2 linked regions of the Danio rerio genome follow. The protein of the gene in region 1 interacts with the protein of each later gene in a pairwise test. Links are inferred from orthologs where the notes say so. Each region holds a gene or a part of one and is shown on either strand. Other genes may lie near its edges.

Region 1 (4,454 bases):
AATGTTAGCATTGGCCAAAACTGATTAACTTAAGTCACAGTCACACCAAAGCGACAGCCAGCAGAGGATTCTACTTGGTCTTAAAGGGGGTGGATACCGTCTTCCGAACCCCCCGAAGCCCCCTGGCTTGTCTTTTTCATTAATCTGGTATTTTTTTGTTTGACACTGGCTGAACTAAGTATGACAAGTTTATTCCTCTAGATGGCGCTCGAATGACACGTCAGGGACGAATTACTAAGCGTATTCAAGAGGTATCAAGTCCATGCGTTTGATGCATCGTCTTTTGTTTTGATATATGGGCAAAACCTGTTTTACTATATTACAGTAATAAGGCTATCCGTACCCTTTTCCAAAGAGAACTTATTACTGTACCTTATATTCAGTCTTATTGGATGTCTTTAGGATCAACTGATTTGCTGGAAAAAAGTGTGGCCACAAAAATTTCATGTTAGAATTAAAATTAAAGAAATATCTTATAAACTTCTCCACAGACTTTATCCAGCAAAACATTATTTACAAAAATTTAAAAGTGGGATTGAAGTAAATTGTATTGTTTGTAATGAATATGAGGAGACTGCTTTACACTTATTTTGGCATTGCGCATACTCAGTCAACTTATGAAGTGAGGTGCAAAGATTTATTAATAACAGTGTTCTTAACCTCTGTCGTTGTTGTGGGAAAATATACTTTTTGGCATTTCCACCCCAATCGAGAGGAAAGTTGTTTTTATTTAATTAATTAAATTATTTTGCTAACAAAATTTTACATTTATAAATGTAAATTTATCAATAAGAAACCGAATTTTAAGGTGTTGATGACTGAATTATGCTTATATAGTAGTATCAGAAACTCTCTAAATATAAGAAAGCACTACACACCTTACTGTGAACGTATTCATGCTTATTACAAATGTACATTTTGTATATTTGTATTTGATTTATTTACCCCCTGACATGTAGGCCTATTTTTTGTACTGTTAAAATGTAATAATAATAATAATAATAATAATAATAATAATAATAATAATAATAATAATAAAATTAAAAAAATAAATAAATAAGTAAATAAATAAAAGGTATTCAGTTAAATTTTTTTGGTAAATAATAAACATGTTCATCGTTTCTCAACTGTTAAAAGTTATCTTTGTCGTTAATAAATTAACTGAAGCTTCGTATTGTTTGCTGTTCTGTTAATTCAATCTCTTTGCTTTTCAGTGGCTTCAAAGGCAACGAAACTACATGAGATGAATATAGTATTTTATTATTGACAGAAGTAAATGTATGACAATAATATTTATTTATTTATCCTTTGCATACCGCACATGAGAAAACTAAATAAAAAAATAGAAAAACAGTGAATCGTTTGTGTTTTACTCAGGCGTATGCTTGAGCGCCTTTGTAGGGTCCTAGAGTAGCTGCCGTCGCTGTTTAGAATGTAATGTTAAAGTAGAGCGCAGTTTGTTTTTATTGCTTTTATAAAACGAAAAACACTGCGAGGATGTTGTGTTTTTTGTTTCGAACTTGATTAGTTAATATGTTTTAACTTCTCACTCTCACTGCAGATATATGAACGAACGTAACTGAAATCCTTTACTTTAGTGTGCAGTATGTAACTTAATCGTATTGGTTTTGGCTGTTTTATGGGAAACGGTTTAAAATATCGGATTGTGTGTGTGGATGCTGTTGGTGGGGCAATAAGAAGCATTTATCAGGATGTTCTCGAGTAAAGATGGTCTGATATCTGCAAACAGTTCATGGCCGTGTTCATCACAGAAGCAACTCTCTGATGTTCTCAGCACGACACTAGACAACAAACTGAACGACACACAATGGTTTCAACATGACAGGTGAGTCCGTTTGGTGGCTAAAATAGTGATTCGATTGTGTACTTTTAAAGGGGACCTATTATGCCCATTTTTACAATGTGTAAAATAAGACTGATGTCCCTATAGTGTGCTGGTGAAGTTTAAGTTCATAATACCTCACACATTTTCATAGATCTTAGAAACTGCCCCTTTTAGACTTTGGTACAAATTGCGTAGTTATGGTGACTGTCGCTTTAAATTAAAATAAAATTGTGCTTCCAGCCCTCTTTTCAAAAGAGGGTGGAGCTATAAACGTCTATGTGTCATCATAGCTGCAGATTCAAAACTTTAACGGCGGACGGCTGCTGCTTGCACAGAGCTTTCTATGCTAATGAGCGAGGGATGAGGTCATCACTAATAGGTGAGACTTTCCCCCTCCGATGACATACAAAGGGAAAATGTCAGCCAAAGTGTTTCTTCTTAAAATTAGAATTAATTAAAGTTTATTATTAGAGGCTGGCTAAATTCACACAACTGTGCTTTACCCCCTTCTAAAAGTGATTTTTGCATAATAGGTCCACTTTAAATCCAAAATGCACTCATTAATAATTGACTAACCTTTGTTAAGTTAATCCTAAAACTTGAGTTTCAAAATAAATTGTTTCTTTGATGCACTGCGATGCAGATGCAGATGGTTCAATATTGGTTCAGTAATAGATCATAACCGGTTATTACGTAGTGGCGACATTTATCTCCTATGCGCTATGTCGCTGTAGAATACTATGGCAAAGGAGGCGAGGGCGAGAAATTAAAATGCTCCAACTACTTAAAAAGCAGATAATTGTGCACAATTCACTGCTTGTGAGTTTGGTGGACAGTCTTTCTTTGACACTGAAGAATGTACAGCACACAAACTGCTGTTTCACTACTAGCGAGAAATGCTGTAAAACTCCATCTCTGCCTCTTTCTCACTTTGGACATTTGACCCGCTGACGTGTACTTGAGGTAACTTTTCCTCTCCTCGCGGCTGTTACAGCGATACTTGTGGATCCAGACACGAGCTTGCCAGTGGTGCAAGTTTTCTCCACTCCACTATTATGGAGTACCTGTGATAAACGCGTATTATGCGCAAATAGACTGTAACTGCGGTTGTTCTTCCCACGTCACTCATCGGTGAACAACGCTTTCATTTTCAAAGCTAATCGCAGCCTTCTCTATTGAGCGGGTGAAGACAGTGACCAATCATAGGAGTGTAAGAACTTGACAGCGCTCAGAAGGCAAGATGGATAATATTTACATTAGTCTATTTCCTATAAATGCTCATGTTGTTTTCTGTGCATGTACTGGAATATTGTCTAAACATTCAAAAAGATTTTTCTTTGAGCAAGTAAAATTAAAAGTACAGTTTATATATCTTACTGCGTTTATTTAAGGACAAAATTGTATTACAAATAATATAAAAATATAAATATATTTATAGATTTTAATAAAAACAAAATCTTGTGTTTTGAAGAAAAAATCTAATTCTGTATGGAAAGCATCGTCAATGCACCGTGATGTACCGAGATATCAAATTGAACGGAATCAACAGCATGATAATTGTAACTGAACAAATCATGAGACCAGTGTAGGTTCACACCCCTACCTAAAACATTCTTAAAATTAAAGGATTAGTTCATAAAATGAAAGTTGTCTAAGCCTCAAGTGGTTTCAAACCTTTATGCATTTGTATATTTGGTTGAACACAGAACAATATGGACAGAATAGTAGATATCTGATCTTGAAGAAGGTTTGAAATCCTTTTGAAGCTATTAAAGCAGGGGTGTCCAAACTTTTTGGGCCGAGGGCCAGATGCAAAAAGACAAACGTTGTCGCGGGCCAAATTTTACATACATCACACAGACACGTGTGTATATATATATATATATATATATATATATATATATATATATATATATATATATATATATATATATATATATATATATATATATATATATACACATACATATATATACATACAGTTGAAGTCAGAATTGTTAGCCCCCCTAAATTATTAGCCCCCGTTTATTTTTTCCCCAATTTCTGTTTAACGAAGAGAAGATTTTTTTCCACACATTTCTAAACATATTAGTTTTAGTAACTCATTTCTAATAACTGATTTATTTTATCTTTGCCATGATGACAGTAAATAATATTTGACTAGATATTTTTAAGACACTTCAATACAGCTTAAAGTGACATTTAAAGGCTTAACTAGGTTAATCAAGTTAACTAGTTAAGTTAAGGTAATTAGGCAAGTTATTTTATAACAATGGTTTGTTCTGAAGACTTAAAGGGCTAATAATTTTGACCTTAAAATGGTTCATAAAAAAATTTAAACAGCTTTTTATTCAAGCCGAAATAAAACAAAAGTCTTTCTCCAAAAGAAAAAATATTATCAGACATATGGTAAAAATGTCCTTGCTCTGTTAAACATCATTTGGGAAATATTTAAAAAAGAAGAAATAAATCAAAGAGGGGCTAATAATTCAGACTTCAACTGTGTGTGGATAGATAGATAGATAGATAGATAGATAGATAGATAGATAGATAGATAAATAGATAGATAGATAGATAGATAGATAGATAGATAGATAGATAGATAGAT
Region 2 (3,829 bases), on another chromosome or scaffold:
GTAATTAGGCAACAATTCTGTAGCCAATCAAGAAAATAAATTCTGAAGGGGATATTAATATTGTCTTTGAAACATAAAACAATCCATCCCAGCCAAACTAAAATAAATTAGAGAGAAAAACTGTAAATAATGTGAACGATTCACAAAAAAATATATTTTAAAGAATTAAAATAGGAGTGATAATTATATATCTAAATGTTTAGTTAAATATTTAAGTTATTTTTAATTACTTCAGTTTTGATTTCAGTGTTTGTTTATATTTAATAATTTTGTTTTTAATTATTTCAGTATATTTAAGTTTTGTACCGTACATAACATGCTAGTTTTTTTTTTTTTTTTTTTTTTTTTTTTTTTCAGGTGGCAGATGCCATCCTGGGCAATCAGATGTTCACTCACTATGATCGGGCTCATGTGGCACAGCTGTGTGAAAAGGCTGGTCTTCTTCAGAGGGCTCTGGAGCACTATACTGACCTTTATGACATCAAACGAGCGGTGGTCCACACACACCTGCTCAACCCAGAGGTAAAACACACAGTCTGATACAGCTACTGCACTCAGTGCTATTTTATTAGTCAGCTGTCCTCCAGTTGGCCAAAACTTTGTTGGGGGTTTGTGCTGTACTTCACCAATTGATGAGAAAAAACCTAGTAAGAAACCAGGCTTAGCTGGGCTTGACAAATTCTTCTCTGACTAAACGAACTTTAACTGCGTCGCACATGCAATCTAGTTGACGACAAACTGCCCTTTTTGTGGCACAAACCAATGAAATAAATGGGTTTTATAGTGCAGTGTGCGTTCAGTGTGAAAGCCATTTACCAGTTTACCAAAACTCTGAACGTTGAAGGCTGTCTGTGCTTTATTGGTGTTTCATCGATAAAATTCAGTATTTTGGGTTCAGGATTTTATTTTTGCAGCAACCTTGCAGTATTAGATATTTGTCATCTACAATAATATTTTAGTTGCTGTTTTTTTATTTGCAAGTTGACATTGTCACTTGTTTTGCAAAAAACATTTTGTGAAAGCTTTCACTGATGTGTTGTGCTCTGGTTGCAGTGGCTGGTGAATTTCTTTGGCTCTCTCTCGGTTGAAGACTCTATGGAGTGTTTGAGAGCCATGCTGTCTGCCAACATACGGCAGAACCTGCAGATCTGTGTCCAGGTGGCCTCCAAGTATCACGAGCAGCTCTCCACACAGTCCCTCACAGAGCTCTTCGAGTCCTTCAAGAGCTTTGAGGGTAACCATACTAAAATGTTTTGTATACCAGAACTGAAATTGAGACCGGGTTGTGTTGCCTGAAGGATCATGTCTCTTTTTTTAACTGTGTTTGTGGATCTCCATATTTGTGTATTTGCTCTGACTTGACCTTAAGGAAACTGTTATTTCCACCTAGGAAACCATAATTTCCACCAAATAGCCAAGTATATTTTAATGGTTAACACATGGAAATACTATACAAATAATATAATACATATTTTATAAATATAATCTGGTACCTAGTGCTTTATATATTTGGCTATTTCAAAATATCCTCATTATTTACTCACACTTTTACAACTTTTATGTATTTCTTTCTTTTGTTGAACACAAAACAAGGTTTTCTAAAGAATGTTGGAAAAAAGCTGGCATTGGTTTTCATAATAGGAGCATAAATCTATAAAAGTCAATGGCTGTTTTTCCAACATTCTTCAGAGTATCTTCCTTTGTGTTGAAGTGTAGAAAGAAGCTCAAAGAGGTTTGGAACAAAAAGTGAACATTTTCAGAAGGATTGCTACCCCTCTAAATGAGAGTTCTCATTGTATTTTTTAGTTTATTTAATATCTATTTAATATATATTTTAATTAAAGCGCATCATGTTTCTACAATATATTTTAATGTTGAGAGCAAAAGCGTTATAAATGTACTATTTGAATTGAACCCAATCATGAAAATGATTAAGATCTCGTGAACATTATATGATTGTTCTCTACAGGTCTGTTTTACTTCCTGGGCTCCATTGTGAACTTTAGCCAGGATCCAGAGGTTCACTTTAAATACATTCAGGCTGCCTGTAAGACTGGTCAAATCAAAGAGGTGGAGAGAATCTGCAGGGAGAGCAACTGTTATGATCCTGAGCGAGTGAAGAACTTCCTCAAGGTGTGATACCACAATAAGCTCCTGAATTTACTTTTTATCTTTTAACAAACCCTTAATGTTGCTTAATTATTTATTTTATCTTCCTCATATTTCACAGGAAGCAAAACTGACTGACCAGCTGCCCCTCATCATTGTGTGTGACCGCTTTGATTTTGTCCATGACCTTGTGCTCTACTTGTACCGCAACAACCTCCAGAAGTACATTGAGATTTATGTTCAGAAGGTACTTGAGGCGCGATTATGATAATGCTTGAGGAATCATCATCAACATTTCAGCTTAATGGGAGAGTGAATAATGATGGACTGTTTTTATCAGGTCAACCCCAGCCGTTTGCCTGTGGTGATTGGAGGGCTACTGGATGTGGATTGCTCTGAGGACGTCATTAAGAACCTCATTCTGGTGGTCAGAGGACAGTTCTCCACTGATGAGCTTGTGGCGGAGGTGGAGAAAAGAAACAGGTGCAACACTGCAGTGTTTTAAGAGTTTAACAATTTGCTGATCATATATAAACTGAAAATGCTTTTCCATTTCCATTTTCCATTTTTTCATTTTTAAAATATATTTTGTGACACATTTTTTAATTTAACCCAATAACATAAATTGTACAGATTTAAAATACCCTACACATTTAATTGAGATTACAATTTTATTGATAGTAAAAAAGTCAAGAGATGTTATTTTATCAGCATTGCAACGACAGTACAAGCAGCATGAAGTATGCTTTGTAGAAATGCCATGTACAGTTGAAGTTGAATTATTAGCCCCCCTGAATTATTAGAACCCCTGTTTATTTTTTCCCCAATTTCTGTACAACAGAGAGTAGATTTCTTCAACACATTTCTAAACATAGTTTTAATAACTCATCTCCAATAACTGATTTGTTTTTATCTTTGCCATAAGGACAGTAAAAAATATTTTACTAGATATTTTTCAAAACACTTTTATGCAGCTTACAGTGACTTTTAAAGGCTTAACTAGGCTAATTAGGTTTACTAGGCAGGTTTTGATAATTAGGCAGTTATTGTATAATGATGGTTTGTTCTGTAGACTATCGAAAAAAAAGTTAGCTTAAAGGGGGTAATAATTTTGTCCTTAAAATGTTGTTTAAAAAATTAATAACTGCTTTTATATTAGCCGAAAAAAAAAAAAGACTTTCTCCAGAAGAAAAAACATTATCAGACATACTGTAAAAATTTCCTTGCTATGTTAAATATAATATGGGAAATATTAAAATAGCAACAAAAATTCAAAGGGGGCTAATAATTCTGACTTTAAATGTATTTGCTTTTTTTCCTGTGAGCATGTGCGATTCATCATTAGATAAGAATACAGTTTCATGAATGGAATACACACAGTGTAAAATATTGATCTTTTTTTTTTCAATTCATATTTATTTCAATTCATCTTTATCTATAGTGCTTTTTTGATGTAGATTATGTAAAATATAGATGAAGTTCTGGTAAATTAAAATGGCTTCAGTTTAGTTGTCACAGTTGAAGTTCAGTGTGATGCAAAAGTCACTGTTGAAAGCACTGAAAACACTGAAGTGCAACTCTACCGGTGTGCAGCTCCACAAGTCCTAGCCAAGCAAATCAGAGCAAGAAAAAAACTGTCTCAGCTAGGCATAACCATGTCTCCTCTGGCCACAATAAACTTGTGACAACAACTTGTGACAACAAACTGCCATTTTGTGGT

Evidence for each region.
Region 2: the proteins of si:rp71-19m20.1 (region 1) and cltcb interact in binary tests that used the Homo sapiens proteins (3 or more experiments, as listed by UniProt). The link is inferred for Danio rerio from reciprocal best matches to the Homo sapiens genes C10orf88 and CLTC.

What each region holds. Positions count from the first base shown.
Region 1 is NC_133187.1:11,905,627-11,910,080, forward strand, and holds the start of si:rp71-19m20.1 (ATPase PAAT), read left to right. Parts: upstream 1-1,397; 5' UTR 1,398-1,712; coding exon 1,713-1,846; intron 1,847-4,454. UniProt on the Homo sapiens protein: ATPase that regulates mitochondrial ABC transporters ABCB7, ABCB8/MITOSUR and ABCB10. Regulates mitochondrial ferric concentration and heme biosynthesis and plays a role in the maintenance of mitochondrial homeostasis and cell survival.
Region 2 is NC_133190.1:19,741,449-19,745,277, forward strand, and holds part of cltcb (clathrin heavy chain 1), read left to right. Parts: intron 1-357; coding exon 358-522; intron 523-1,053; coding exon 1,054-1,234; intron 1,235-1,969; coding exon 1,970-2,133; intron 2,134-2,230; coding exon 2,231-2,356; intron 2,357-2,449; coding exon 2,450-2,592; intron 2,593-3,829. UniProt on the Homo sapiens protein: Clathrin is the major protein of the polyhedral coat of coated pits and vesicles. Two different adapter protein complexes link the clathrin lattice either to the plasma membrane or to the trans-Golgi network.